Lytechinus pictus: one gene and its partner. The protein of the gene in region 2 purifies or fractionates together with the protein of the main gene of each other region. This does not show direct contact. Links are inferred from orthologs where the notes say so. Each region holds a gene or a part of one and is shown on either strand. Other genes may lie near its edges.

Region 1 (7,206 bases), on a different chromosome or scaffold from region 2:
TTTGTTGAGATTTTGGAGTAATTTCTGTTGCTTTTTGTGCAGTTTGATGAAAAATCTGTTTTCCATGATTAACCATTTGAAAAGCCACTTTCAAAGGGCCGTTTCCGTGAATTCGCGGAAAATCACTGTGTCCCTACATAATAGCGGGTATTATCGACAAAGATAGAAAGGTTATCGATATCGCTAAGTGGCAAAAACAAGCGATTATTGACAGGACTATCGATAAAGGCGTTATCGATAACAGCCCTAGTACAGAAGGTCCTTTTGTTCAACGGAAAGTTGTATTTGTGCTAGTCTTGTGTGAGGACCAACTTATTACGTAAAATTTGTAAATGGAAGGCAGGTTCTTATATGTTAAACCCTTGACATTAAAAAAACAGTGTAATGCAAGGTTTTATATTTTTCAATGTTCAATTAAAGAAGCTTCATTTTGTAAATTATAAATGCCTATCATGCTACACTTACAATGGATACATATATACATGCACATTACACATCTACATGTATACTGTATAATGTATTTACATGTACGTACAGTTTGATGTTTTATACCCTTGGCCATTTAAAGAATGATGGAAAGTATTAGATTTGAGGATATCAATTTATGGTTTTGTATTTTAAAACACAATTGATCACTTTTTGTAAAAAAATGAAAATTCCCCAAAATTCCCAAAACAGGCCCCGTGAATGCGTGATGATAGGTAAGGTCTAACGTTAGTTCTAAGTTAGATCTAACATTAGGGGGCCCTACATGTACATCATGTACGGTAGTGTGACCTTAATTTGCGCGTTACCCAATTTTGCGAACGGTCGAATATCTCAATATCTAATTGATATCTTAAAAAACTTATATCACCAATAGAAAGAGCGACTTAAAATTACTCAGTATGGTAATTTTGTTCAAGGTAAGGTCTCGATAAGTCTATTTGTGAAAATATTGGCAAAACATCAGCAAATTTTGTTACCTTTTGCGTCCAATCTTCTGGACAAGCATCAAGAAATCGCCAGTTTGCAAGCAGTATCTCCAAATAAGTACGGTTAGTAAAATGTGGTACCAACCGAATTTATGGCATTTTAACTTCCATCTGATATAATTATCTTACCTTTGTCTGAGCACTTGATTTCAACTCTAAGACTAAACTCTAAAGCCTTGCAAAACGATCGTGCGCAAATGAAGATCACACTTTTTCAGCCGAGCACGCACTAGTTGATCGCCATGGAATTTTAAGATCGCGATACAAGCGAAACCCTAGACCAAAAGCTTCGGTCTCTGTTATTGTTAAATTGGTTGTTCCGCTGAACTCCGTTGGCTCCACTTACCAAATACAGAGACCTAAGTTCTAACTCGATCTGTACAGGGACTCAATGGCCATATGTTAATGTATTAAGTTCGGATAAACCAAGGATGTGGGAGTTGCACGACAGCTGAAGTATATCACTGTTTTTGTCCTGAAAGTTTTAAGTTTATTTTTCAACATTTTGGTGCATTTCAGGCCAAAACAGAATAATAATCTTTGTTTGGTACAGTTCTGTTTATACATTTTTATGAAATAAAGACAAAAATCGATAAGCCCCGTCGGGGGGATTTTGCATTGTTAATCCCCTAATGGCGGCTGCACGATCGCGAGGCTTTTGTGAGGAGAAATAAAAATGTTTAAAAACTCCTAGAAACAGACGGCTGCCAGCTGTCTAGCGAAACCCTAGACAGCTGGCAGCCGTCTGTTTCGAGGAGTTTTTTTACTTTTTTTTTTTTAAATTTCTCCTCGTACACAGACGGCTCGCTAGCGTGCAGCCACCATTAGGGGACTTGCAATGCAAAATCCCCCCGTCGGGGCTCTTCAATTTTTGTCTTTAATGAATAAAAATTTTGAAAATTAACGCGACCAAAATGCAAATTAATATTCCCTCTTGGCATTAATTGCCCAAAAATGGAGAAAAATCAAGTTAAAAGGAACAAAAACAGTGACTTACCTCGGCTGTCGCGCAAATTCACTTCCCCGTTTTATCCGATCTTAAGTACATAAACATATGGCCATTGAGTCCCCTGTACAGATCGCGCTAGAACTTCGGTCTCTGTATTTGGTGAGTGAAGCCAACGGAGTTCAGCTGAACAACCAACATAACAGAGACCGAAGCTTTTGGTCTAGCGAAACCCTTGACCTACTTTATAATTCTGTCAAGCGAATTTGACTTTGGGGTCTTGCCTTCTGTTTGGTATTTATGATTTTGATTAATTTTGTGTGAACTGTGTCTGTGAGAAATTTTTGATTGAAAATCAACTTCATGATAATTTTTAAAATGTGCGCAAATTATGGTCACCCCATCATATGAATTGATGTAGATCTAACATCGAGGGATCTACATGTAGATCTAACTTTGTTAGATCTAAAAAGTTAATATTAATCTATTGTACTTATCCGATTTTGCACGACATTGTCACCGACAACACAAACACAACAGGCAACACCACTCAGATTTCAACAGACAACACCGTCCGTAGTCTGACTGTACTTCATTCTACTTGTCTTTGTCTATTTACATCACACACTCTCAGCTCAAACATTGTCAAAATAAATAAGACTTAATTATTTGTAAACAAATTTTCGGCATTACTTCTATGAGACTATGTGTTTAACTAAGATCGCATGCTCGATCTGTAATGAAAATCATAAGTCAGAAAAAAAAGACTTAGGCCTAAGTTAAAGTTAAACTGATGATATTTAAACAATTAAGACTTAACTTAATTAAAATTTAATGTCACTGACATTGACTGACCTCAGCCATTGTCAGCAGGAACGCAATTGGCAATAAACAACATGAAAAATCGACATGATCACATGTAAATGTTATCTAGATCTACACGACAGAACAATCGAATATAAATTGCTGCACTCTCTCTGTAGACGTAGTGTAGGGAGTGTAGCTGACGTCTGACTGAGCAGTCTTGTCGACTCTGTGACTGCGACTCAAGATCTGTCGCATTTGTTCATCCAGCTCAATTCAATGGAGTTCTCCAAACAACTTAATAAACCACAAATTCAATATATTTGTAATTAGAATATTTAGCATGAAAGAGGTCTATGTTAAATTACCTTAACTTTCGTCGATTGAATTATGGAACTGTGAAGAAAATGTTGTTTTTTAATGGTATAAATGTTGATAAATCACCGGTACCATTTCGGACGTCTGTTAATGTTTTTCATGCGCACCGATCGTGCACACACCGCGCGCACTGCCTGCACCGTGAATATAGCTCGCGAGTGAGCGCGCACAACAAATGATACTAGTACTAGTTTATAAATATCTATATTTCTAAAGTTATGACTGCGAGGCTTTGTGAACACTGCATAAAAAGAATTTCGGCTCAGAATTTCTATTGCATTTCATTATTCAATTTTCCTAGAATTTGAATATAGTGTTTATAGATGACAAAACATAAAAACAAGTTTAGACGTACATAAAGATAGTTTTAAATTTAATATGTTTTTGTTCCCTCCGACGAACAGCCAAGGTCCCATGGTGTAATGGTTAGCACTCTGGACTTTGAATCCAGCGATCCGAGTTCAAGTCTCGGTGGGACCTCTTTGTTTTATTTTTTTTTTTCATTCCTCTTACAAGCGTTTGTATATATTATTTGCTATAAAAAGCATCTATATATTATATTTGCGAAAAAAGTGAGGGGTCGTAATTACTTCCAGCGCACACAGGAACATCTATAAAGCCTACATAATATAGCGAAAGCAAGTCCAGGGTATAAGATTTCTCATTGACTGGTCATAACCTGTACAGTATTAAACAAAATAATGCGAGCGCAAACCGCCGGGGTTCATTTATTTATTTATTTATTTATTTTTTTTTTTTTTGGGGGGGGGTAAATGACTTGAAAATATTACAAAGGCACTTTTATTGTACGCTTGATTATACAAAATTGAAAGCGCGAGCTGAGATTAACTATCGATAAAATGACCGGGTGGGTACGTGTTTCATAAATCAATTATTCGCATTATGTACTACACTTCTTTAAATTCGGTCCGACCATTGTTAAATGGTTTGATGTGTTTTATGAAAATGCTCAATCTTGTGTTTTAATCAATGGACACCTGTCTCCCAGATTTTCAATAGAGCGAGGCTGTCGCCAAGGAGATCCATTGTCTCCATATATTTTTCTATTATGTGCTGAAATACTTGTTTCGACAATCAACGTCAATAGATGGTTTGAGGATGCCCTCTGGTAAATGTCATAAAATATTACAGTATGCAGATGACACTCTTCTGACATTAAACGGTTCAGAAAGAGAATTGAGTAGTGCTTTTGACATCTTGTAAAAATATAAAACAATATCAGGTTTGACTGTTAATATAACCAAGACACATGCATGCAATATGGATTGGAGGATACAAGAACAAGAAAGACTGTATTCTTGCCAATGGGAATTTGAATTGGGTATTTGATGAATACTTCAGATATTTAGGTATAGATTTTTGTACAGATCTTCAGAAAATGACAGTGCATAATTACAATGAAAAGTTTAAAGAGATCAAAAGTCAAATGACTTCATGGTTAAGACGTTACCTGACGGTCCTTGGAAGAGTTACGGTTGTCAAGTCATTGTTTGTGTCTAAATTGAACTATACTTAATTCTTTCTCTCCCGAATCCAAGAGAGTTATTTCTAAAAGATTCCCAATTTCATAGATTCATATGGGGAGAGAAACCAGATAAAGTAAGTAGAAATCAAATGTCTCAGAGTTATTCTGAAGGTGGAGTAAAAATGATAGACATAAATCTGCAATGCCAGTCATTGAAAATTTCTTGGATGAAAAAAATGATAAACGGTTCCATTGACGGTAATATTATTTGTCTTCTTCAGTCTTTTTTTGCATAAAACGCAAAACTTGGATCTTTATATGGGAAATAGCTATTTTTCTAGAAAGTGGCACACGAAATTAAAATCCTTTTTGGAAAGAAATGTTCTTAGCGTATAGCACACTGTTATCTATGCACTAAATTTAATATACCTTGCCAACCCTTATGGAACAATGATTTTATCAAAATAGGTAATAGCTCAATTCACAGTAGATCTCTAAATAATAGGGGTGTTCGTTTCGTTAATGATATTTTAGATGGCAATTTCCTCTCTTTGAATGACCTTCAGGAAAAATACAATGTTCAAATAAATTTTCTTTTTTACCGTGGATTATGTGATGCCATAAGAGACGGTTTTAGCAGTGGCACACACTTTAGCAAGTTCCAAGAACCTATTATCCCTGATACAATAGCACTTGTTATGAAATATAATAAAGGTTGTTCACACATCTATACGATTCTTAAAAAGAAAAGAAAAGTGGAATGTAAAAGTTTTCTTAAGTGGAAGTGTATATTCGATATGAATGACAAGCAATGGCAGTCGTATTGCTCTATTTGATTCAGTTGTACTAATACCGATGTGAATTTACGTTGGTTTCAGTTCAAAATAATGCAACGTATTTATATACAAATGAAATATTGTTTAAAATTAATTTAGCTCAACAAAAAGAATGTACTTTTTGTAATGTACACCGTAAAACAGTTACTCGTCTACTTTGTGAATGTACATGTATTAAACATATATGGGACAGGTTTGAACAATGGATATTTCTTAAAACTGGAAATAGAATATTTTTCTCTAATAAAGAAAAATTATTTGGTTTAAGAGGTTCAAGTAATTATGCATTAAATTGTTTATTGATAGTGATACGACAGATGATTTACAATTCCAGAGTAAAACATAAATTACCTGTTTTTGATAATATCAAATTTGCACTTCAGAATTATTTCAAGAATGAAAAATATATCGCAGAGTCAAATTGTAAAATGGTAAAGTTTACAAAGAAATGGTTTCAATTACGTGCCATGTTTACATGAAGTGATCTGTTCAGTTCCCTTTCCATGTATATACATATGAATATTATTGTTCATTTACTCCTTGCTTTTTCCTTAAATTGTTTACTATTATGTGAACCTGACAGTTCAATTTATGTATTTGTTGCAATTACTGTTGTACTGTATTTCGTTGTTATTAATTTGATTTGTCATTGAAAAGATATCTTGTTATGTTTTGAATAATAATAAAATCCCTGTGGAGGGGAATAAATTGAAAAAAAAAAAAAAAATCAAGTGGCGTAACTCAGTACGCCCCCCCCCCCCCAACGGCTGGCCAAAAAAAAAAAAAAAAAAAAAAAGAAACAAGGTAGAAAAGGAGAAAGAGGGAGAAAGGAAGAGAAACGTAATGGGGAAGAATAAATTAGTTGTATATTGTATTATGTGTGAAGAAATACCCCCAAAATTTTTCAAAATTCTCTTTTAATATTTTCTATTTAGATCTGTGCTTACTTTCAGCCAGAATTAATTACTAGTATCCAAAATCTATCAAAAATTCCACTTTAATACAACGCCACCACTCACAGCTGTTGTTTGTTTTGAATCTTGAATGAACGTAGTAAAATCAGCTGAGTGTGTTTACTACAGCAGTCAATGAGCATAGTAACGGAGGCAGATTGTGCTATTTTTAGAACCACAGCAATACATAGGATTTAGTACGTGGGACAAGGTTAGGTTAATGGCGTGCACGGTGATGCACGGAGCGAGTTTTCTCGATAAATTGTCACTTACCTTGTAAATGTCTTTTAGGTGAGGAGCTTGATGCTCTATTTTTCCCTTTTATGATAAAATGATGTCTTTAATGATCCTATTTTAGTCACTAGAAGTGATTATTCCCTACCGGAAATGGTACATTCTGTATTTCGTCTTTCGCGGGTGATGACGTCACAAACTTTTGGCCAATCACGTAAGCGGGCAAATCAAGTTTTTGTCAGGCGATAGGGGCCCGATGGCTAGGGGTATAAAAGGGGCAGAGGGTGAAAATTTCTTCACTTTGCATCTTTGAGAGTATTTGTCTAGAGAGAACTCCAAGCCAGTCTTCCAGTTGAAAGTACTTGTAAGCGTTTGACCTTAGCAAGAATCGTGAGTGGAATATTTCTTTAAACTTCTTAAGGTTATATAATATCCCCCCCCCCCTTTTCTATAAAAAGGAATTTCTAATTAAATTTGTGAGAACTGGAATTTCGAAGTTCTTTATAGAAATTTTAGGCTTGATGCCCGATCGATGAGATGAATATTTTTATGTCTGCCCTTAACATTGGTCTTACTCTTAGAGATATTACTTGAT
Region 2 (7,889 bases):
GATCATGGTGGTGGTGAAGATGATGATATTGGTGATGGTGAAGATGAAGATGATGATGACAGTGGAGGTTGTGGTGTTGTGATGGTAGTAGTAATAGTGGTGTTGAATGCACAATTCTTTGATTAGCAGACCTGCTTATCAATCAATAAACTACCTTTAAAAAGTCCTTACAAATCATGATTGCTGATGGTAACACTTCTGACAAAAAATTTGGCGGCAAAAAAAATTACAAAATATTATAAAACCCCCTACATGCCTTGAACAAAACCAGCAGTACAGGTTAGTTTGTAAACAGTGTATAAATAAAAATTGTGCGCCCTCTATTGGTGATAATGTTGGTCTCCTTTTGCTTAAAGGAGAATGAAACCCTTGAAACCAGCTGAATCCATATCAAAGAGAAAAATCAAAGAAACATATTGTTGAAAGTTTGAGGAAGATTGAATGAATAATAAGAAAGTTATGAGCATTTGAATATTGAGATCACTATTGCCATGTAGATCCTCCAATTGGCAATGCGACCAAGATCTGTGATGTCACACACGTACAACTCCCTCATTACTTTAGTACTTATTTCACTTATATTCTCACTTTTATATAGAGTCTATCACAAGGTGAGGTGTTCTCTTTATGAGAGGACAAGTTCAGAGGTTTCACATTATATCATTGATGAATCGTTTGTCATATGATTAGAATGAGCAAAAATATATGTTTTGGGATATATTTTCAGTATCCAAAAGGGGAGAGTTGTTCATCTGTGACATCATAGATCTTGGTCGCATTGCCAATGGGAGGATCTCCATAGCATTAGTGATCTCGACATTCAAATGCTCATAACTCTTCTATTGCTAGTCCTATTTTACTCAAACTTTTGTTGATCTTATTCTTTGATTTTTCTGCTTTCACAAAAGCTAACTTACTCCAAAAGTTTCATTCTCCTTTAAGTCAACCACCATGAGAGCAGAAAAAAATAATTCACCAGAATTCTTGAAGATAAATTGGGAAACAAGTTTGTCATATAAGTTTCATAGAAATATTTAATATTGCATCTTTCTTCTTCTGCAATAATCTTCAAAGGGCTGTGCAGCCTATCTCAAAGATGATGAATTAAACTGCAAGTTGTAAGGAGTGAAGGTATTTTCAAAGTGTTTTTGGCTTTCGCAGGAGAATTTGGAAATTGTTAAGCGAAACTTTATAAGGGGGGTATGTCTGCGCACCTAACAATTCAACTTAAGATTTAATATAGATTTATTTTTATGTCACAAAAAAATTCAAGTCGATAATGTTCCCTATATTTTTTATAAGTGTGCAAAAAATCTCATAAAGATTTGATGATTTTCTTGGAAAAAACCACAAGTAAGTTTCAAATTGAAAAAAAACTGGTGCACCCTGTCTTTGCACTCATTCATTTTACACACATGATTTTGGGATTTCGATTAGAAATTTTTAGGCTGTGACATAATAAGCCTGAAATTCAAACCATTCTGAGTCAGATTTTCTTAATGAATATCTGTCTATAGATGTATTGCAGGCGTTAAGTTTGTGGCCGTTGCATCATAAATAGAGTTCATACTGTTTTTCTGCCATTGACTACGGTCATATTTTTACGTACATGTAAAATACGAGAACATCTGCCTGCAGAGCAGAGTGCAGCCAGTTGTTCTCTTTTTTGGGGGGGGATCACGGTGCAGTGGTCGGTACAGTCATGACAGTTGATGGCGTCTGAGTCGCCTTGGCATCGGCCTCGCGTCGGTGAATGATTTCGGCCAAATCGTAGTTTTGGGAACCACTCGTCGATTTTTTTACGCCCGCACTTGTGTAACTTTTTACAAAATGAATGGAGTTTGGAGGTAGAAATGTAGGAATAGGATCTAACGCTAGGACGAGGAAACTTTGCGTGTGACAGAATAGGCTGAAGTGCAGCTGTATGGTGGTGTGACCTTAATTCGCACGTTACCTAATTTTTCGCACGGTTGAATATTTCAAATCAATATCTCAAAAAATAATATCACCAACAGAAAAAGCGACACAAAATCACTCAGTAATTTTCTCGAAGGGAAGGTCTCAATTTGTGAAATTATTGGCAAAACATTGGCAAATTTTGCTACCTTTTGCGTCCGCTCTGAGAAAATCTGAACTTCTCAACAAGCATCAAGAAATCGCCAGTTTGCAGGCAGAGGTCTCCAAGTAAGTAAGTAAAATGTGATACCAACCGCACTTATGGCATTTTAACCTCAATCTGATGTAAATATCTTACCTTTGTCTGCTTGATTTCGTTTCTAAAGCTTTGCAAAATAATTGTGCGCAAATTAAGGTCACACTTTTTTGTGACATTTTTTCAGCCTAGCGCGCACTAGTCGATCGCCATGGAATTTTGTGATCGCGATACCAGCAAAACCCTTGACCTACTTTTAATTCCGTTAACCAAATTTGACTTTGGGATCTCGCCTTCCATCTGGTATTTATGATTTCGATTAATTTTTTGTGAACTGTGAGAAATTTCTGATTGAAAATCAACTTAATAATAATTTTCAAAATGTGCGCAAATTATGCCATAAATTATTTATGATCACCCCATCATACAAAGTGAACGGTGGTTCTCAATTTCACGGTAATGCCTTGATTTTTACAATCAAAACACCTCTTGACTAACTCGGACACCTCTCAGGTTAGCAAATACACTAACTTACACACAATACTGTCAATGCCATTGCCTGGCAGGACTGACCACGACCACTGCACTGCACAAAAAAAAACTCACTCACTCACTCACTGATGACGACTCACCAGCTCACACATCATTCATAGACAGTCATTGGAAAGACACAGACAAGACGCAATCCCAATTATGAACAAACATGACAAAGCTAGTCAACGGTTGGTTATTGTCATTTTCGCTGGAATATTTGATAAAAAACTTAAAATCTATGCTCACCATTCCTTCTGGTATCTTATCTTCGTTGATAGTACTGGTCTCCATGGTTGATAAAGTGAAATTTCATGCAGGTTTTTGTGTGAAGCCCTACGCCTTTTTCATGTCACTGTTGTGCAGTTCGCTGATCCAACAAAAATACAGCATACCATACCACTGGCACTGCGCTGTTGTATACAGTACAGTGCACTGATGAGGCCGTGTGCGAGACATGCACGGTGGATAGAGCGTACTCAGAATGAGCCCAGCGAAATGCTTTAGCTCTCGCAGCTCAATCTATATCTCGACCTCTCCGAAAAATCCTTAGTTTAAAAAATAAATAATATAAGTATAGGGGCCTACTAATAATAACAATTCTTTAAAAGAGAGCAAAATGTTTTATTCATTTCTGTTTTATCGTCCCCTTAAAACTAAATACATTTTGGTGGATGCGAAGACGATTTGGGACATATGGGACCCCCACTTTTTTCAGGTAACATATCTGAGCCCCCGCGCCCCCAAAACAGTAAAATCACCATCTTATTACATTATGATTTTTTTAATGGTTGGCCGCCATGGCCCCCGTACATGCAGCTTTGTCCCATGCACTCCTCTTTTTTCATGGGGGGGGGGGGGCACTGGAGATCGACAGTCTCGCAATGAACTTCATTTTTTACACACACGTATTCATAATCAAATATGATTTCATGTATAAAAAGGAAAGTGGATCCATTACATCATCAGCCCACCAATAATTATTCCAAACTCATGACGTCACGGCATGAATATATTTTCACAAAATATTAATCTAAATCAAATTCAGTTACTTCATTATTTGTATCAGTCCTGCTCGTTAAATTTTATTCTCTTTATTTAGACATTCAGTTATAGACCGTTATTCCTTGAAAAAAAAAGTAACTGAATTTTTGGTTACTCAGTAAAATTATACATAATAATTTTACGGAGAACTATGAGGAAATAGTGGATCGGCATTGCATGATGGATGCATGATTTTTTTTTTTGGGGGGGTGGAGGTAAATGTTCAATACACCTTTAATCGTAATACGTTATCTTTATATCACAAATGGATCCAGATTTTGCTTATAATGGGAGGGGCGGGAAAATATTTTCATCCACAAAGCATAAATTTTATTGACTTGAAAATTTTGAGCAGGGAATTCGCCCGGGGAGGGGGGGGGGGGCGTTCAAATGCATTGCAACATGTTAACAATAGGCATGGGTATATGCCCCCAGTGCAGTTCAGTAGTGTTAAAATACCACAAAGGAATACAATTAACACTGTAATTAAGACCCGGGGAAAAAGCTTGAGGAAAAACATAACCTAAACACATTTGGCTATATGGTCTTAAAAAAAGCTTTGGAAAAAAAAACCCAAATACGTTTGACCATTGACCAGCCTCTTTCAAAACCATCTTTTTTTAAAGTTTTTCATGGGGGCGATTATCCCCCTGCCCTACCCTCATGATCAACAAGTCTGAATCTTAGAAATAATGAATTTTATTGTACGTGTCATCAATATCAAATTTCAAGTTTCAAAATTTATTGATCAAAATCCACACATATTGGATCATTCTCAATTTTAAAAACAAACACTTAATAGTGCGTACCAAAAAAGTGTAAACTTTACAGTGAGACACAAAGTTACAAATCAAATATATAACTATATAAATAATATAAATACGACATACAGAAAAATAATGTTGAGTAATTTTCATGTTGAGCCCTAAATCATATTCGATACATATTCAAATAAATAATTTACCTCTTATAGCATAGGTAAACTTACATGTTTTCTTTTGAAAGTTTCTTTGCACGATTTTTAAATATGTAAATTATACAAGGCTCAAATCACATTAAATATAATTAATAAAACAGCCTATCAAAAGGATGATAGTTAGGGTTAGTTATCACGGGTGATCCGGACGGGTGGGAGGAGTGAGAGTCTGCAGTGCAGGACCCCCACCCCATCCCTAAATAAAATAAAATAAAGGTTGCAAAGGACAAATATTTTTCAATTTTAAGACTCGGAAATAAACAGAAATATTGTAGTTAAATAGTTTATAATACTGGTTGACGCTCTAATGGTATAATAATTCAAAATAACAAAAATTTGAAGATGAATGTATAAAGAGGAACAACAATGACATTGGTACCGTAGGAAGCTTGGAGAGAAAAGTAACAATAATAACATTAATAATGACACCAATAATACTAAGCCTTTATCGGACTAACAGCAAAATCTAAAGGTTTAGTTTTTATCTCTTATCCCTATTCAGGTGGAAAACAAGAATGGGTAAGGGTGATTATGTAGTCATTACTTATTATTTTCTAAAAGCTCCAGACGTTTATCAAACATTGCACTAATTCCCTTAACTACTATTACGTTTAAGTCTATTTCGGAGTTTGACATCATTTATTTAGTTTCAAATTTCTCTTTGTTGTTAAAACTTTGAAATCGGGTAGTATGTCGTGTAATTTAGAGTATAATTCCAGCCTGATGGGATCATTTAAACATGAGCAGGTGACAAGGAAGTGAAGTTCATCCTCTACACCAGATTTGCATATAAGAGGACATATTCTTTCTTCTGGCTTCAGTTTCTCGTATCTTCCTATCATATATAAGGTTACTATTATTTATTCTGAGTTTAGTGAATTTAGGGGAATTTAGTTACATGTGATTTTAATTTGTCTAGTGATAAGTCAGTAATTTTCCATTTTGTATTCCAGTTTAAAGGTTTTTTATGTTTGCAGTTTAGTAGAGTATATATTCAGTGCTTTGTTCATTGCAGAGAGCAACTTTCCATGATTGAATGTATCTGTCTCGTAGTTTGGTGTGTAAAGCTTTCTTTAATATATCAATGGAGAAGGTATTTTGGTTTTCCCATACATATACGTTTGAGAAACTTAATGTGCTTAAAAAAGTTTTAATATTATTGCTGTAACTTATGTTAGTATTTTTGTCCTCAAAATATGTTTTATACACTGTAAAAACTGAGGTGAAAACTGACACCAGTTGGTGTTAATAGAGGACCACACCCTGAGGTGTTAAAATTACACCCTAGGGATTGAACATAACACCAAAGGGTGTTGATGTGACAACCAAAGGTGTTGTAATAACACTTGTAGGTGTTAAACTAACACTGTCAATTTAACACCGGTGTAAAATAACTGGTGTGGTCCTCTAGTACACCGGTTAACACCACAGTTTTTGCTGTGTAACTAAGCTTTATTTTGAAACTTGTTCAGGTAGTGAGGGAGGAACTTGTGAGGGCAGTGGGTGGATGGGGGGGGGGGGGGTCTGAAGGAAGGGGTGTTGTGCCCGCTGTGCGGCCGTCATGTGTTTTTTGTTCTTTCTTTTCATCTATTTTTTTTTTCAATATAGATTTTATATACTTAATCTCTCACCGAAAGTAGGAAAACGAGTTATTTTCATAAAAATTTATATGTTTACCTCATCAGATGCCTCTATTCACATTAAAATGCATATTATTCAAATTCTAACATATCATCTTACAAAATTACAAGCTAAAAAGTTTTTGATTATAAGCATCTGATACACCATAAATAATATGTATAAAAAACAACCATGTTATATTGAAAACTATGATTTTCATTGAAAGTGATTTAAAATGTACATTTTGTATTAAAACATGGAAATATTATGATTAAGGTTTGTATTTAGGTAATCACTTGATATACTTATCAGTCAGTCAGTTAATGGCAATGAATATTTAAAGGAATCACGAATATATATTTCCAGAATAATTTCACTTGCGGCATTCCATTCAAGCATGAATAAGTGAAGCATTTATTTTGTTAAAAAATAAATATTTTTACCAATTATATTTTGGAGGCCTATATTTGGACGTTTTGAACAGATTTGTACATTTATATGTAGGTATAGGCACTACCTGTAAATAAAATATAGGCCTATGGTTTTAAAGGTACCTTGAATTACCGATGTAAAGATATGAGGGGGCTTAGCTAGGGTCATGGTCCCCCAAAAGTTTCTCGACCAAGAATAAAAGAAAAAATAAAGAAAGAAAAGGAAAAGGATAAAATAAGATTTTTTTAATGGATATTATGTAAAAATTATTTAAAAAAATGATTTTGGCTCGCTCGCCTCTCTCGCTCGTAACTTTGCAGATTCCCCGCCCTTTATAAAGCCCAGCGTCTAGCCTCTCAAAAATTTTGCTGATTATATGTTTATGCGAATCGTTGATAACAAAAATATTTTTAAAATAGGGCAAATACATAACGAAAAATATGGATGCTAACATGAGATGGCCAAACACCTTCAGAAACACAACTCAAAAGTTGAGCAGTAAGCTGGGTAAGTAAAGTAAGATTGAGCAGTTGAGATTTTTTTTCAATATTTTCTTGAAAGCGAGTGTTTTTGCATAGAGATATAATTAGTTTACATCTCTATGGAGTTTTTGGCAGAAAAGAGGAATAGCGCCATCTTTGCCCACGTTGGCGACAGTAGTGCTGAAAGGGTAAAGTCTCGTACAGTCATGATGTACACCAAATCTAGTAATAATCTCTGATTTTAGTGCTAGTGTGGGAAGCCGCATTTGTAGGTGATCGGAACTACTGTTTTCCCGGCGGCCGGCAAGAAACCTTGGCTTGGCCAACTTGGATGTTCTCTCGTTACATTCTTGCGAATTGCTGATCGAGACGACTGCATACGATTTTTGCAAGCAGATCACTGAAACAGGTTAAAGATCATCAGGTGAGGGGAAGTGGAATGTGGTATTTAACCACTAAATAAGCAAACAAGGCTCGGCCCACGTCAAGCGCAAGCGGCGCGGCGCGGCGGGGCGAGAGCCATGGCCATGGCGCCGGCTGTCACTGTGAGTCAGGGCCAGCCACCACCTAGTCTTGAGGACGCAATGATGATGACTTTTAAAATAATGATGAGTTACACATTTGAAATCATCAAAACATAAGACGGGAAAGA

Evidence for each region.
Region 1: the proteins of F-box/WD repeat-containing protein 11-like (region 2) and cullin-1-like purify together in Drosophila melanogaster (affinity purification with western blotting; 4 studies listed by BioGRID, with this or other methods). This does not show direct contact. The link is inferred for Lytechinus pictus from reciprocal best matches to the Drosophila melanogaster genes slmb and Cul1.

What each region holds. Positions count from the first base shown.
Region 1 is NC_087247.1:61,242,704-61,249,909, reverse strand, and holds the start of cullin-1-like, read right to left. Parts: upstream 3,263-7,206; 5' UTR 3,093-3,262; intron 2,992-3,092; exon of another isoform or gene 2,776-2,991; intron 1-2,775. UniProt on the Drosophila melanogaster protein: Core component of multiple SCF (SKP1-CUL1-F-box protein) E3 ubiquitin-protein ligase complexes which mediate the ubiquitination of proteins involved in cell cycle progression, signal transduction and transcription.
Region 2 is NC_087256.1:24,778,219-24,786,107, reverse strand, and holds the start of F-box/WD repeat-containing protein 11-like, read right to left. Parts: upstream 3,210-7,889; 5' UTR 2,978-3,209; coding exon 2,933-2,977; intron 1-2,932.